Linked DNA regions of Canis lupus familiaris. The main gene of each other region encodes a partner of the protein of the gene in region 2 in a complex. Links are inferred from orthologs where the notes say so. Each region holds a gene or a part of one and is shown on either strand. Other genes may lie near its edges.

Evidence for each region.
Region 1: the proteins of AP1M1 (region 2) and AP1S1 are in contact, whole or in part, in a crystal structure (PDB 1W63), measured with the Mus musculus proteins. The link is inferred for Canis lupus familiaris from reciprocal best matches to the Homo sapiens genes AP1M1 and AP1S1. Residues at the interface, in NP_031482.1 of Mus musculus: Lys12, Glu31, Asn186, Asn188, Val189, Leu190, Glu232, Glu234, Asn270, His272, Arg421; in NP_031483.1 of Mus musculus: Lys26, Lys30, Arg33, Glu34, Gln37, Lys43, Glu51, Trp52, Arg53, Asp54.

What each region holds. Positions count from the first base shown.
Region 1 is NC_049227.1:8,623,182-8,627,360, forward strand, and holds the start of AP1S1 (AP-1 complex subunit sigma-1A), read right to left. Parts: upstream 2,830-4,179; 5' UTR 2,674-2,829; coding exon 2,671-2,673; intron 935-2,670; coding exon 756-934; intron 105-755; coding exon 1-104. UniProt on the Homo sapiens protein: Subunit of clathrin-associated adaptor protein complex 1 that plays a role in protein sorting in the late-Golgi/trans-Golgi network (TGN) and/or endosomes.
Region 2 is NC_049241.1:46,687,710-46,691,327, forward strand, and holds part of AP1M1 (AP-1 complex subunit mu-1), read right to left. Parts: intron 3,298-3,618; coding exon 3,150-3,297; intron 1,585-3,149; coding exon 1,549-1,584; intron 1-1,548. UniProt on the Homo sapiens protein: Subunit of clathrin-associated adaptor protein complex 1 that plays a role in protein sorting in the trans-Golgi network (TGN) and endosomes.

The DNA of each region.
Region 1 (4,179 bases), on a different chromosome or scaffold from region 2:
CGAAGTATTTGTCCAGGAGCTCCACATACCGGTGGATCAGCTCCAGCGTGATGAGCTCATTGTCTTGGCCCTCAATGGCACAGCAGAAGTAGAGGCTGGCATATCTGAGGACAGGGGCACACGTGGGGTAGCTGGAGGCGCTGCTGCATCTGCTTCAGGATCCAGGCTTCTTGCACCCAAACCTCCCATTCCTCATTCCCAGCGCAGGGTCTGGTGTCCATTGGACATAGGCGGGGTGGCCCCAGGGTATGCAAATAGTAACAACTCACTCCGTCTCTTGGTGACTCTCACAAACGGAGGCTAACACAAGCTCTTTCCCTTTGCCCTCTGACCTGTTCAGTTTGACTCAGCAAAAACCTGAGCCAAGTAATCCACCTGCTCAGAGAAGGAACTGGACAGGGTGTGTCTGTGTGCGCGTGCGTGTGCGTGTGTGTGTGTTTGGGGAAAGGTGGTGCAGGATCTATCACTGTCGAATGAGGGAGGCTGCAAGGGACACGTACGATGAACAGGATAGGGCCTTGGTGACAGAGGTATGTGCGTAAAGTAGGTGTCAGGCATGAGCAAAACAAACGGGGAGCAAAACAAAGAATTTCTTCAAGGTAAGTTTGGAAATTGAAGGAAGCTGGAGTCCATCACTGACCTCCAGATGTCCTTAGCTCCCTGTTCTCCCTGACCTTATTTCTCAGCCATTTGAACCACCGCCAGACCCCCACCAAGCAGGATCCAGATAGCTGTGAAAGTAGGCGGCAAATCACCTCTTATAGACGACTTTGAGATCCCTCCACTCCAGGAAGCTGCACATCTTGGGCTTGCGAGCCAGAACAACCTGCATAAGCTCCCGGACCATTTTCTTTCGCTCCTTGTCTGATGTGGCCAGGTACCATTTCTGCAGCCGCAGCTTTCCCTGCCGGCTGAACAGCAGCATGAATCGCATCTAGGGGGCAGGGGCAGAGCTGAGGGTCAGAGATTCTGTTCCCTGGTTTTGTTTACTCCATAAACACAGTCATACATGCGTCCTACAAGTGCAGCTAACCCCTGTCCATTCACAGCTCCCACTGGCTTCAAAAATCAGCCCTTGCTGGTCAACTCTGAGTATCCCCACCAGCAGGTGCCTTTACTTCTGGGGGCATGTCTGAGCTTTGGAGTCTGTCATTTGGGTTCAAATCCTCCTGGCTCCAGGAGTTGAGAAATTTGCCTTGGGCAATTATTTTACCTCTCAGGGCCTCAGTTTCCTGGTCTGTATAATGGATGTAATATAAGTACCTACCTGTTTGGAGGGATTAAATGAGTTGATATATGCAATTGTGCCTGTCACATGGTAAGCATTGGAACACAATAGGTGTCACTATTATCATGCCTTCATCTCTTGTTTCCTACCTCTGCCTTCCAAAGGTCAGTCAAATGCCCAGCACAGTGACAAGCAGCTCATAGATGAAGTCAAAGAGATGTCTGCTTTCTTCTGTGGTCCTTCTATCCACCACCATCCCGAAATGAAGGATTTTGTCTCTCCAGAAGCTACTTCAATTCTCCACCCCATCCTGGCCATACACCCTTGTGGATATCCCCAATACACTGCCCTCCAGTGCTAGTCATATGCCCAGGGGTAGATTCCACCCTCTCCTCTCCTCAACCATCCAGGCCTCTGGCCACTGACAGTCCTCTCTTTTTTTCCTTCTCGGGTGCCTCTTGCTATGCCCCCACTCCTCTTCAGATACCAGGTGACCAATTTCCCTTTCAGTTCCTTGGTTAAGGACACCATCACCCAGGGTGGTTCCCGAAGCTTTGTGAAACAAAGTGCACGCTGAGTAGAGTGGGGAGGAGTGAGGAGCCGTCACTACCCCGTGCACCCGCAGCTTTCAGTTCCAGGGGGTCCAGGCTACATCCTGGAGTTAGCTCCTCCCTGGACATTACCACGGCTGGAATCCGTGGGTGTTTGACACAGTACTTGCTTAGGAGGCTAGATCAGAAATCAAGGGTTTGGGGTGGTGGGGAAGGGGACACGCTGCTAGCGTGACGGGAGGGCAGCAGAGGGGCGCTTGGGAGCCCTGCGTGTCTGAGACTGGGGGGCGGGGAAGCGGGAAGCCAGCAGGAAGACGGAAGGCCTGGGCTCCGGAAAGAGAATGGGGTGGGGGACGGAGAGCCAAGAGCACGGGGTCTGGGGATCCGAAGCCTGGGTCCTGGAGAGCAAGACCTCGCGTCCATTTGGCTTTCCCACCTGCGATAAACCGAGGCAGGACGTCCACTCCTCGGACCCGGAAACTCTCCCCTCCCACACAGCCTCTGCTCTGGGCTGCACCCGAACAGAGGGTCTTGTGACCCGCCGCCCCCCGCCGCCGGCAGGCCCCGGCGCCCCTCTTCCTCGGGCGGACCTCCCTGCGGGAGTGAGTGGTCGGGACCCCTCGGACCGCCACCCGCGCGCTCCCCCAGCCAGGCTCGGGACGGTCCCGCCGCCCCTAGTCAGCCCCCTCTCGCCCCACAAACGCGCCTCCTCCCCGCCCCTTCTCCCTAAAGCCATTTCCAGCTGCTGTTCCTTCCGAGGCCGGCTGGCCCCCCCGCCCGGGTACGTGGGGCCTCCGAGGACCGTAGGAAGAGAGGGCGGCCCCCGAGGACCCCCGCAGGTGCAGCCCACGCCCCTCGGTTCCCCCTCCCCTCCCTCTCCGCACAGCCTACCATCCTGCAGCCTCCGGCTCGGCGCGACCCTCTTCGGCCACCGTACGCGCCAGCTCCACTCCCTTTCTTACCCTTTCTCCTCCTTCCCTCCCTCTTGCCTGAAGCCCCGCCCCATCCCGCCCCGGCTCGGAGGCCCTTGGAGGGGCGGACTGCGCAGGCGCCAGCGCTGCGGGGCGCGCGGGCGGGGCTGGAGGCGGAGAAGCGGAAGCCATGGCAACCAGGTCCTCGACTTCAGCTTTGAGTAGCTCTGTCGTCATGGTAACAAGGCCGTCTGGTGGGCAGGTTGGAGGATGGGGGAGGAGGACAATGAGGTCCTCGCGCTTCGGAACCTTGGGGGGAAAAAGGCGGGAAAAGGAATGAGAGGTGGAGGGGACGACCATTGGAGTTTATGAGGCAGTAGGGAGGACTGATGGAGGGCGGGGGCGATGGAAAGGGCTCAGAGTGGGAACTGGATGTGGGGAGGGAGCCCTGACTTGAGGAAGACTAGACAAAGCGTGGTGGTGATGGGGGGGTGGGGGGGGCTGACGTGACCTAAGTATGGAGTCCAAAATAGATACGCACCGAGAACCTGCTAGATGCGGCACTCGCCTGAAGTCAGAGAAATGTGTAGGTAATGAAGGAGATGGGAAAGAAAAGAAAAGGAGGGGCTGACATGAAAGTGATGCGAGGAAAAGGTGGGGAGGAGCACGCATGAGCCGAAAAGAGTCTCTTTGAGATGTTCCGGTGGTAGCACCGGTCGAAACTGAAAAGAGACAGGTGTCACCTGGACACAAGTGTAAAAATGAGGCTGTGAATTGCAACATGGACTTTTCGTGCACATGTGAGCACGCACGCCTGTGCGCGTGTGTGTTTCCTCGCGGTCAAGTAAAGTGGTTGGCACGTCGGGATAAGAGAAAATCTTCCATTTTTTCATGTTGAAAATGACGGTATTGCTTTTGAGTAGCACTTGAAGCAATTGTTGGTAAGGCCTCACCTTGTCTCCATTTTATAGTATTTTTTTCTTTCTTAAGTATTGAAGTAATATGCTATCCTTGCAAGACAGGGGGCCTAATTTGCCTGGGATGCAGTGTGGCCTCTGACCCTTAATAGATGCTTGGCCTCAGGTGAGTCATTTAGCTCTCAGTTTCCTTATTAGAAAACTGAGGATGGCCATATCTGCCTTGCAGGGCTGTTTTGAGGATGTATAGAAAGTATCCTGGATAGTCAACACTCGATGATATCGCTGTTCACTTTCTCCCTTTCTCAGCTTCTTACTTCTACTTTTTCTTTTTCTTCATCAGTCTCCTTTCTCCTCTGTCTATACCTTCAGCTTGCCGGTGACTTAGAGGTTGGCTGAACTATCTTGGTATTTTTCTTTTTTTAGGTCAAGAATAAGATGGATAGAGCCCGCTGTTGGAGTTAGGAAGGATAAATCATTACTGAGTGAAAAGAAGGAAAGGAGGTGTTGTAGAAGGGGCAGAAGGCAAAAGGGATGAAAAGAGATGTGCTACTGGACGGGAGAGGAGGTTG
Region 2 (3,618 bases):
CTCAATGACTTTGATAAAACGGACCAGCTTCTTAAAAATAAACTACCAAAACTCAACCAAGATGAAACCAAAAACCTGAATCGTATAACCGTTAAGAGGATTGAAATTTGTAGTTAAAAATATGCTGAAAAAGGAATGCCTGGGTGTATCTGTTGGTTAAGCATCTGACTCTTGCTTTTGGCCTAGGTCATGATCTCAGGTTGTGAGATTGAGCCCCACACTGGGCGTGGAGCCTACTTAAGATTCTCTCTCCCTCTCCTTCTGCCCCTCCCCTCTCTTAAAAAAAAAAAACCTGAAAAAGAAATTTCTAGACTCAGATAGTTTCACTATCAAATAAATTAATTCTACCAAATAAAATTAAAAATATACAATTTACGATACCTTCAAAAAATGAAATACTTAGGTATAGCTCTAAAGAAAATGTATAGGTAGTAAAAACTACCAAATGTTGATGACAGAAATCAAAGATGACCTACCTAGAGAGAAAAAGACACATACAGCGTTTTTGGATTGTGAAGCTTAATATACTAAAGATAACAGTTTTCTTCCATACTGATTAATACAGTTATTTAATAAAATAACAATTAAAATCCCAGTAGGATCTTTTTGTAGATAGAGACAAGTTGATTCTACAATTTTATACAAAGGGACTAAATAGCTACAACAATTTCAAAAAAGAAGAATGTTGGAAGAATCACATAATCTGATGGAGACGTAATAAAGTTACAGTTATCAAGACAGTGTGGTATTGGCAAATAAACAGATACACAGATCTGAGGCCAGATATAGACTTGCATGAATATGGTCGATTGCTTTTTGACAAAAATACAAGTGCATTTAATGGAGAATGGGATGGTTTTTTCAAAAAATTATATTGGAACAACTGCAAAACACTGTTCTACATGCAAAAATAAATGCATATAAACCTCGTACCTTATGTAAAACTTAACTCAAAATGATCATGGATCTAAATGTAAAACTACAAAACTATTAGAAGAAATTCAGGAGAAAACCTGTATGACCTTAGATTTGGTGATGAGTTCTCAGACATGGCACCAAAGGCACACATCAAAAAATCGGTAACTGGACTTTCTCAAAGTTAAAAACTTTTGTCCTGTGAAAGATACTGCACCAAAAGAATGAAAAGACAAGTGACAGACTAGAAGAAGACATCTGCAAATCACATATCAGATGAGAGATTTATAATCCAGAATATATAAAGAACTTTCAAAATGCAACAATCAGAAAACAAACAACCCAATTTAAAAATACTCAAATGACATGAAAAGACACTTCTCCGAAGATGATATGTGGATGACAAAGGAAGCACATGAAGAGGTGTTTAACATCATTAGCCATTAGGGAAATTACAAATTAAAGCCATGATAAGCTAACACGACACACTGATTAAGATGGCGAAAATTAAAACACCGATCAAGGATGTGGAGCAACCAGAATGTTCATCCACTGCTGATGAAAAGGCAAAGATGGTGCAGTCACTCTGGAAAACGATTTGGCAGTTTCTTATAAAGTTAAACATACACTTACCATATGACCCAGCAATCCCACTCCTGGGTGTTTTCCCTAGAGAAATGAAAACTTCTGTCTACACATAAACCTGGATGTGAAACATTTATAGCAACTCTATTCACAACTGCCCAACACTGGAAAAAAACCCAAAAGTCCTTCAATAGGTTGAATGGGTAAACAAGGTATGCTTCAGGATATAAAATAAATATAAGAAGAAACAAACTTCTGGTAAACGTAGTAACTTGGATCTATCTCAAAGACATTATGCTAAGTGGAAGAAGCCAGGGACGCCTGGGTGGCTCAGTGGTTGAGCATCTGCCTTTGGCTCAGGGCGTGATCCTGGGATCCGGGATCAAGTCCCACATTGGGCTCCTTGCAGGGAGCCTGTTTCTCCCTTTGCCTGTGTCTCTGCCTCTCTCTCTCTCTCTCTCTCATGAACAAATAAATAAAATCTTAAAAAAAAAAAAAAAAAAAAAAAAAAGGAAGAAGCCAGACTCAATAGGCCACATACTGTACAATGCCATTCATAGGACAATCTCAAAAAGACAACATTCTAGAGTTGTCCTCCTTATCTGCAGGAAATATGCTCCAAGACCCCCAGTGGATGCCTGAAACTGCAGACAGTACCAAATCCTATATATACTATGTTTTTTCCTATATAGATCTCTAATAAATTTTAATTTATAAAATTTAATTTATAAATCAGGCACGGTAAGAGATTCACAATGAATTAATTGTGACATGGGACAATTAGAACAATATACTATAATAAAAGGTAAGTGGATGTAGTTTCTTTCTCTCTCAAAACACCTGATTGTACTGTTACCCACCGTTCTTGTGATGATGTCAGAGGACAAAGCGCCTACATGACAACGTAAAGTGAGGTGAATGACATAAGCCTTGTGATGTAGTGTGAGGTGGCCACTGACCCTCTGACAATAGTCAGGAGGAGGACATTCTGACTGAGGACCATGGCTGACTGGGGAAGAGAAACTGTGCAGTGCCAGGGACTGGAGTGGTGGCTGCCAGCAGTGGGGGGAGAGGCGGAAGGGTCAGACTGCCGAGGGCGGCAGTAGGGAGGGCTTAGAGGGGATGTAGCTCCTGATTATGGCACTGGGGTACAAAAATCTGTACATGTGCAGAAATTAACAGAAAAGAAGGTCAATTTTATTAGTGAAAATTTAAAAAATAAAAGGAAAAAGCAAACATACACAGTCAAACAACAATAATAAAACAAGTTGCAGAACCACATCCTACGCTCTCGGCTTCATGGAAAGAACAGTGCATGTTTGTGAATTTACAGAATGAGGTCCAAAAGGATGCTAATAAATCTTAAATGAGGTGGTCTTTCTGAAAATGGAACACTCTGCTAACTCTCCACACTGCTTTAAAGAGTGACAGCCACGATGTGTCTGCATTGATTCTAAACAGGAACACAAGCTAGTGGAGAGAAAAGAGGCTCAGCCATGAGTGGCCTAAGCTGAACCCTGCTGATCTGCTGTCATAAAGAAAGTAAATGTCTCTCAGCGCCTTGCTAGTTTTAAAAGTCCCAGTGCTTTTATTTCAACCATGGAAAAGACAAAATTTTTCTGAAAGAAAAGGAAGGAAAGGAAGCCTACCAAGAGGTTGACAGACTCGATGACATCCAAGAACACCTCATTCTTCCGGTACTTGATGCCCTCGGACCGCCAGGACACTGCATTGGTGACAGTGGCTGGGGGCCTCGGGGCCCCCGTCTCCAGCTTGTGGCCTTCCTGAGTGATGTACCTGTGGGACCGTGCCAAGAGTTAAGGAGTTCAGGCACTGACATTTTGAAAACATTCCCTCCCTAGAGCAGGTTCCAGAAAAGGCAGGCTCTGGTTTCACCTGAGCTGTTTAATACAAGAATATCTTACAATGTGTCCATAAAGCCCTGACAAACTTGAGTTACAATGAGCATAGAGTGTTCATTTTTCACTTGAGGGATGGTGCAAGGAGGGGACCTGAATTTGCTCTTCTGCTCGATGTGCAGAGGGGACTGACCCTTGGGGGAGAAGCTGGTGACCCCAATACCACTTGGGGAACAACAGGTGTGAGATGTGGGCCAGT